2 linked regions of the Solanum lycopersicum genome follow. Each later gene encodes a partner of the first gene's protein in a complex. Links are inferred from orthologs where the notes say so. Each region holds a gene or a part of one and is shown on either strand. Other genes may lie near its edges.

Region 1 (5,067 bases):
TGTATGTTTGTGCATAATGAAAGTTGAAGGTCAAAGTTAAAATTTGAAGCCAAGTTTAGAATCCAATGTATGTATTATGCCAATAATATTTAAAGAATAATTTGTTTGTTTACAAAAATACCCTCCATCATTTAAAATAGAAAATAGTTTGAAGAACATCTATTATTCCACTCTCGAAATAACTTTTCATGATACTATTAATTATTATTATTCTTGCTATTATAATCAAATAATGGATAAGAATAATTAAACGATCTCTAATGATCGTTTTGGTAGTTGGTTAGAGTTATGCATTGATATCTATTAGTAATGTAGTGATTATTTATGAATTAGTCGATCCATTATTTTATGCAGATATGAGTTATTCGTGTATTAGTTATCCATAAGACATACATTAGATTATTAGAATTAATTATTCCACTTTCTATTATGCATTAAATAATAAATAGATTTCATCATAAGTTATACATGTATTAATTGTGCAGATTTCTTAACTGTCAACTAAACATTGTATTAATTTTGTACATGTATAATTTATTTTCTATGATTTTATCCACCTACTAAACATGTATAAGTTGTACAAAAATTAATATGAGTAACTTGTTTCTCATCCAGCTTCCAATCACTTATATACATGTAATTATTTTCATTATTTGTGTCTATGTAAACATAATTTGACATGAGATTGAAGTCTCAGTCTAATAGTTACAAGTAACAACTTTAACTTGCATGTAAATGCCAAGTCTAAAAACAATATGCGTACGAATATATGTTTTTCAGGTCATTAGAAACTTTTTATGTACTATCGAACAATAATTTGGTGAATATAAAATGGAGGTTATTTGAGTTAATAAGCTTTGATTATTTTTTTATTGTTGCATCTTTGTGGTTTATACTAGGTCTTACTCCAACTAAATAACTTATGAAACAATGCAGATAAGAAATTAATTGTGTCAACTTTGTACTATACAAGTTACATGAAAATTAATTGAGAAGTCATCCCTATATTTAATTACTTTATGGAGAATCGAAAAGGATCAAATTTGTTTTTGAACTATGCAATTAAAACAAATTTGTCATTCATTACTATGAAGGTCAAATATGTCCTTGTCGTTACTAAAATGGGCTAAATTTGCCCTCGTTACCCCTCCTATTCTATTTTACAAGCACGTAGTAATAAACAAAGATCTCAAAAGTTTATTTTTTAATGAAAAAACACCACACTTGGCTTCAAGTTGCTTGATCTTGCATTTGATGTTTGTGAACAAAACGACCAGATATGTTCAAATTTGACCTCAATTGGCAAGTTAACACTTTAACTTTGAGTATGCACATCTAGATACTTCGACTCATCTTTAGCGTCCAGCTTTGTAAGTAATCATCTAGACACCTCTAAAATTTACATGTCACATCAGCATCAAGTGTCCACGGAAAATAGAGGGGTTGTTAGTTGAGATCAAATTGAGTTCAATAGATATTTTTACTTAATAGTTGAGATCAAGTTTGAGTGTGCCTATTTATATCTTATGCCGATATTCTTTATATAATATTTGTATATAAACTAGACAAACGAGACTATTATATATTGTGATTTGTGATGGATGGGCCTTTAGTAGATGGATTAGTAATAATAATAATTGGACCTAATGTGAACCGAAAGCCCAAACTTGAAATACGAAAGCCTTCTTCTCCGAATCCTCTTCCCCTTTCTCTGTAAACAATCAATGGAGTCCAAACCCTCAAGCGGATTCGGACCCTCCAGTAGTCCTCTACTGTCTCTCTCCACCTTCGTCCACCAGCACTGCTCCCGACTCGGTGCTGAACTCGCTAACCGATTCGACGAAGCGAAACGGCTGAGTTCTAAAATCGCCGCCGATTTTATGCAGCAGCCGCTGCCAGCGGCGATAGGGAGGAGTTGTTCGTTGCCGTTGCATTCTTATCATCTATCTCTTCCGTTCGCTTCGGTGTCGCAGCGTCAAGAGAAGGTCGCTAAAAATACCGGTTTGAGCTCGGATTATGTTGCTAAGACATTAACTGGAACTTCTGTATACACAGTTAGCAATTCTAACAATGAATTCGTGCTCATTTCGGACCCGAATAGTGCGAAGTCAATCGGATTATTGTGCTTCCGTCAAGAGGACGCCGAGGCATTTCTTGCTCAGGTGAACTTCATTTTTTAAAATGAATTTATCGAATTTTTTCTCTATAGAAGAGAGTGAAAGGAGAGATGAACTCCTTTATCAAAGTAGGGTAGCAGGAAGGGGAAAAGATATGTATAAATTAGCCCAAAAGAGAAAACTAAGTTAAAGATGATTGCTTTAAAAGAAATTATTGGGTAATTATCATTGGAACATTGCCTTCAAAGGTCAAATTATTTATTTTTGGGATGTATTGAACCTGAATATAGTGGAATTGATACATAAGATAGCAGATACAGAAGACATAATGTGGACCTTATTAGTTTGCAATTGAGGCGTTGTTATAGAAGTTTTGATATACATGGAAGGCTTGTTTGTGGAGAAATGAACACGTGAAGATTTTCAGGTACGGTTGCGGAAGAAGGAAGTGAGAGGTGGAGCTAAGGTAGTTCCGTTGACACTTGATCAGGTGAATTTTTGTTTCCTTTTGCTAGGAATTTTTCTTTTAAGGATGTATCTGCTTTGGTGATTATTTTCTTCTTTCCTTTTAAAAGTTTGTACATTCATTTGAAAAGAATTGCAAACTTTAGGAGTGACATTAGATTACTCTATGGAGAAGGCCATTTTCTTGTTTTAAGGATTGAACTTTAGCAAAATTTTAGTACCATGAAAGTGTCTGGTAATAGATATGGTATTTGTGATGGACAGTTTTGTCTCTAGTGCTTATCAAGATTGGTTGGTGGAAAGTCAGAAGCTACTGATGATCGACTTGTGTGTATATGTACAATCTATTTCTTTGCATATATTGATAACTTCTTCTTGCAAGAATGGGTATAAACTTTGATGGTTATTGAATCGTCCCTTATTAGTTAAAGAAGTGTTGGATTCAAATACAGCAGAATGGAGATACCGATCCTAACTTGTTTAGATTGACACATAGTTGATTGATTGAATCAAAACAGAGCATGCATGGTATTTAGCATAAGCAATGGAGTCTTTTCAAACGCACCCCTTGAGATAAGGCTCGATTAGATTACCTGACCATCTCAGGTTAAGATTAATTTACTGAGCCATTTTCCTTTACCATTCCTTTTAGTGATTTCTTCTCTTTTACATCATTAAGATAAATTGTATGCATTATTGATACATTTTGTATCTCTTGTTCATCCATAAAAAAGGGGATCCTATCGTGCTCCTTTTGAGCCTCAGACGTCTGATCTGTCCCGTTTAATATATCTTCTTCTGCTATTAAATTAAAAAGAAAAAATTGAAGCTTAACTTAAGAATGAAAGACATTTTTGTCTCTATTTAACAGGTCCAGTGTACATTAAATAATCTACTGCAACTAGTTGCAGTTGTCTGTATGTGCAAGAATTTCTGTTTTTTGCTTTTCCATTTCTTCCTAAAGGTGTTGCCAGGCACTTGTCCCGTATTTTGAATAGTTACACGTCTTTCTTGTTGGTATCACTTTGCAGGTTTACATGTTGAAGGTTGAAGGAATCGCATTTCGTTTTTTGCCAGATCCTGTTCAAATTAAGAATGCAATGGAGGTAGTTACCCATGTTGGTCATCCTTAAGTTTTGTGTCTGGGATCCTTGTAATTTCCACTGAATGTAGTAGAATTGCACAAGGACGCCTGTTCAGTTGTGCAAGTGAAAGTTATACTGTATATGTATATTCATCTACCTGTGATAGTTTTACGTGAAAGTACACTGGCATGTAGCTTTAACTAATGACCAGATTCCAGAGGTGGTAGAATTGCTTGCAACCCATCAATTTTTGAGGTCCACTGACATACCCTTGTTTTTTCTTCTCTTTACTGTTAATTCAAATATTTCCAAAATGGAGGTCTTTTCGAGATTTGAACTTGGGTTACTGACATGCCTGGTATGTAGGCTCTTGCTCACTAGTCTAGTAAATGAAGCATAGATTATTAATGGCTTGACCTCCATTGCCACCCAACTTCTGTCTCCTCCTCCTGGAAATATCTATTTGGCTAAACATAATATTTCAATGCATGCTTATTAAAAAAATCTGTTCATCTCAACATTGTCTTTTCCTGTGACAGTTAAAAGCTTCTGATGTAAAGACTGGATTTGATGGAGTCCCTGTTTTCCAGGTAGCATATAAACTTTTTTGCCAACTGTATGCAAAAAAACTCTAACATTACATGCTCAGCCTGTGTATTTTTTGAATTATGAGCCTTCACTCACTGGAAAGCTTTTGCTAAATATTTTGTATATCAGAGAGTGGACTGCTGAATATGGTTAAACTCCGCTTAATTCTGTAGCTTTTTGTTCTTGTGCAGTCAGATCTCCTAGTTGTGAAAAAGAGAAACAGACGATACTGTCCAATATACTTTCGAAAGGTATGTTGGTTTTTAATATCTTGAACTGGAACTAGTCAGAAGAAACAAAAAATTAGATATAGTTATTATTCGTGATGGTTTTCATTGAATTCCTTTTCGGGTATACAGGAGGATATAGAAAAGGAGTTATCATCAAGGGCATTGAGAGGATCTAGTGTCTCTCAGCACATTATGGTATCATAATCACTTTTATCTTTCTGTTTTCTTTCTGATAGGGCGTGCAAATAGATTAAGAATGGTCAAACATGCTAAGAGGTGAATATATGATGTCTCTGAGAACTTACTTTTAGTAAGTGTTTTGGAGTAAATTTCATTCGCATTGATCTCTCTTTTATCAAGTGTAACATTGTCTGAATGCGTAGAGGATTTAAAAAATTGAATTTACGTGCTACAGGTTTCACTTGGAGAGCCTAACATTGTAAATTTTGCATGTAATGGAGAGGATTAATGGTTGAAAGTTTTTACTTGAAAAATATAGCCGAGTCTCCTTAGTCAATTATCATGTTAATGTAAAATCTCTTACTTCAATTACAAGAAGGAAACAGAGTTAAGAACCCTGAA
Region 2 (3,389 bases), on another chromosome or scaffold:
TATCAACATCTAAAATATCTTAACATCCCAACACATTTACCATCTAAAGGTTGATATGATGACCAGGTTTCCTAAATAAGAAAAAGATGCAGATTCATAAAACCTGCAGCTATTAAGAGCATTATTTCTTCCGTCCTAGTTTTAGCTTATTGTTTTTCTGTCCAAGGGTAAACTACTTTTAAAATTACTATACAACAAATGGAAGAGGTACTGGCAGAGAGGCATACTAGCATTTTACATAAAGAAGGTGTATACTAGATGCCAATACCTTTACGTAAATCATCAAAGTCTCTGTAATTAGCGAAAGCTCTAGGTTGGGGTGGAGGACATTATCCGAATTGTCTCAAAGAATAACATCAAAACCTGATACCTAACTTCCGTGTATCTCTGCATACTTGCCCTTTTCAAGATAATACAAAACGAGACCCTTACTTAAAATCATGATACAACTGGCTACTAGGATCATGAATTTCTTCCTTAAACACCAACATACCGATGATGTAACATGTTACCTCATCCAAAAACCAAAAAAAAGAATGGTGATGTAACTAACATGTTACCTAGAAATAGGGATTGAACTATCTTCATATCAAAAAATGACAGAACTTGTAGATAATATCACCACCTTTGTGGCACTCAATGGCAAGCCATCAAAGTCCATGAAGCTGGAACGAAACTACACAACACGAAAGTGCAAATCTATGCAGAGGCAATAAGATCTTCTATTTGCCTAAGTTGTAGTGGGCAGAGTCACTTGGAACAATTCCAGTTAAGATATTCCATGAAATAGTTGAGGTGTACGCCAGGACATTACGGTTATAAAAAAGAAATACCTCTATATATTTTTGTTAATGCAGATACATAGAAAAAAAGTAGTTACTTGATTAAAGAAACCGAAATGCCATTACAAGAATATACATATCCACATTAAGAAACAGCAAAATGATATGCATGAACAAGGCTCTAAAGAGCATAAACATTTACTTTCGGAACGAAATAGATATTAATTGTCAGCTAAAGCAAAACATAATTAAGTGTACAAAGAGGATGAAACCTCATAAACAAGTAAAATTACGAGTTCATAGCACTTGCCTATCAGCAGCTTCAGCAACAATAGGCAATCTAGGTAGCTGACCCAACAAGCAAGACGAAGTACCATAAACCAAAGATACCAAAAGAAACAAAAACACAGTACTATCAAAGCTCATCATCAAATCCAACCCAAACCCATCACTTGGATTGAAACTCCTCTCCAACAAATCAGGAAAAATGAGAAGCACATCAAGAACAATAGCTTGCATAGTGTTGAACCTGACATATCTACTAAAATTAGGATTTCTTACAACAATAAAGTAGAGTGTAAAGAAAACCAACAACCCGTTAAGCGGAAAGCTCTTAAAAACCCTTATAGCTGGTACTAAAGGTTGAATAAGTGTTTGTATTGGAGCAAACTGTGTGATTACATATTTACCGTACTGAACACCATCAAAGAAAGGGTAGAAGTAAGTTATGGCGGAGATTAAACGATCTGGACCATCTACTGAGTCGTCGTTCTTAGATTGAGCTCGAATTGTTGGCCTTTTAGGGTTTCTGAGTTTTGTTGAGGGTTTCAGTAGAAGAAATGGCGAGTGTTTGAGTGTAATGGTGGTGGATAAAAGATTGGTGATGGCCATTGTTGAGGATGGCCAAAGATATTTGTTTTGGGGGGGAGAAAGAATGAAAAAGGGGAAATTGGATTAGGTCAGCAGTCAATTGAAAATCCTGATGGAATTGCGGGTCGGGCTACATTGATACCATTTGAATATCCATAATTCCATATCCATTTTGGAGGAAAAATGTCTACGGGTCAAATACATACGCAAGTCTTTAAAGTTGTTCGTGTTTTTCCCAGTTACCTCAACTAATCTAGATTCCTATTGAATCTTTTAACCCCCTATAATTTGATCTTTTTAAATATTCTTGGCTAATGTGGAGCCAAACGTGATCTCACGTCCTTTAAGCGTGTGCAGACGCTTTAAAAGCGCTGATGTGGATCTTGAACCATCCACCAACGATTTTCTTCCCCCTTTTAATCCTAATTTCTCCCATTCTTCCCTTATTTCTCCTCTTTTGTTTCTCTTCATCATTATTTCTCCTCTTTAGCTCATTATATTATATCTCTTTTTCATTGATTTCTTTTTAATCATCAAGTTTCAATGTCAAATTTATCTACTTCATCGATTTCTTCTTCTTTAACTGCGAAAGTACTATGTCAATATGGGAACGTTGTGAAAATGAAGATCTCATGGACGCAATCCAATCCTGGACGTATATTCCTTTGTTGCAAAACTTCAAAGGTAAATCAAATTCACTTTTTTTTGTCCAATATAGTAAAGAATCACCTTATTTATAATTCAATTTTTTTCTTTAATTTTGTAGGCACGAGGTGGATGTGGATATTTTCGATGGTATGATGATGAAATGCCTGCTCAAGCTAGGAGGGTGATATGGGGTTTGTCGAAAATAGTCAAAACATATGAATTGGAGAGGAATCGATCAAGAAAAATATGGATGATATGCATTATCGTAGGGATGATATTGGCTACTTGGATTTGTGTAACAAAATGATCTTAGTTGGTTCATTTGTCTTCAATTAGATTCCTTCATAAAAGTATGTATGGTAGATTGTAGAGTTCTTTGTGGACAATTTTGATCGATTTTTCTATTGTAAATGCCTTGTGTTTTTATTGTAATGATTTAATTGAAGGAGTGTAGATAATTTATGCCTCAAAAGCAGTAAAAATTGATCATTCATGCCATTAATTTGCTCTAGTGAGCTTCAAGTTTCAAGCAGTCAATACAAATTTCTGCTGCTAATTACACAACCAAAAAGTGATTTTTCTACATAAATTAGGCATTCTTTGGTGCACTAGATGTTCCACGCTTGTTTTTTCTTGAATAAGTGATTTGTTTCAACTGTGAACCAGTGACAGCATCTCCACCATTCCACTTGAGTCCTCGAGGCTTATAACCAATATCAATATTTGTTGGAGCTGCATCCTTATAAACTCTCAAATTGATAATTTTTTCTCCTGAAGTACCAGCTGCATAGAAATATCTTAAAATGAGACTTTATATAGTAGAGTAAGAAATGAACAAAATTATGTATACACTTTCAAATACCATACCAAGCTCAAAAATTGCTACAACACAATCAGGATCAAATCTTACCTTTTTACTTTTTCTTCTACTTGGTAAATCAACACTCTTAACAAATTCTGGATCCAATTCATTCCTATTGTCTTTACTGTTCAATTCTGAGCTATCTATATATTGCTTCACCCCTAATCTTCCAGTGTATCTAGCAGCCTTATTCCTTCCCATGTCTTCAAAGCCTCTATTAATACCAG

What was found. Proteins that work in one complex are often made in the same cells at the same time.
Region 2: protein TIC 22, chloroplastic (region 1) and protein TIC 20-v, chloroplastic share a complex: the UniProt entries of both Arabidopsis thaliana proteins name them as parts of the tic complex. The link is inferred for Solanum lycopersicum from reciprocal best matches to the Arabidopsis thaliana genes Tic22-IV and Tic20-V.

What each region holds. Positions count from the first base shown.
Region 1 is NC_090803.1:65,447,240-65,452,306, reverse strand, and holds the start of protein TIC 22, chloroplastic, read left to right. Parts: upstream 1-1,611; 5' UTR 1,612-1,724; coding exon 1,725-2,162; intron 2,163-2,544; coding exon 2,545-2,607; intron 2,608-3,613; coding exon 3,614-3,688; intron 3,689-4,206; coding exon 4,207-4,257; intron 4,258-4,446; coding exon 4,447-4,506; intron 4,507-4,614; coding exon 4,615-4,680; intron 4,681-5,067. UniProt on the Arabidopsis thaliana protein: Involved in protein precursor import into chloroplasts. Imported into the intermembrane space via the Toc translocon. May be involved in the import pathway used by proteins without a cleavable N-terminal pre-sequence.
Region 2 is NC_090811.1:6,212,225-6,215,613, reverse strand, and holds protein TIC 20-v, chloroplastic, read right to left. Parts: upstream 1,750-3,389; 5' UTR 1,674-1,749; coding exon 1,080-1,673; 3' UTR 863-1,079; downstream 1-862. UniProt on the Arabidopsis thaliana protein: May be involved in protein precursor import into chloroplasts. Not redundant with TIC20-I, TIC20-II or TIC20-IV.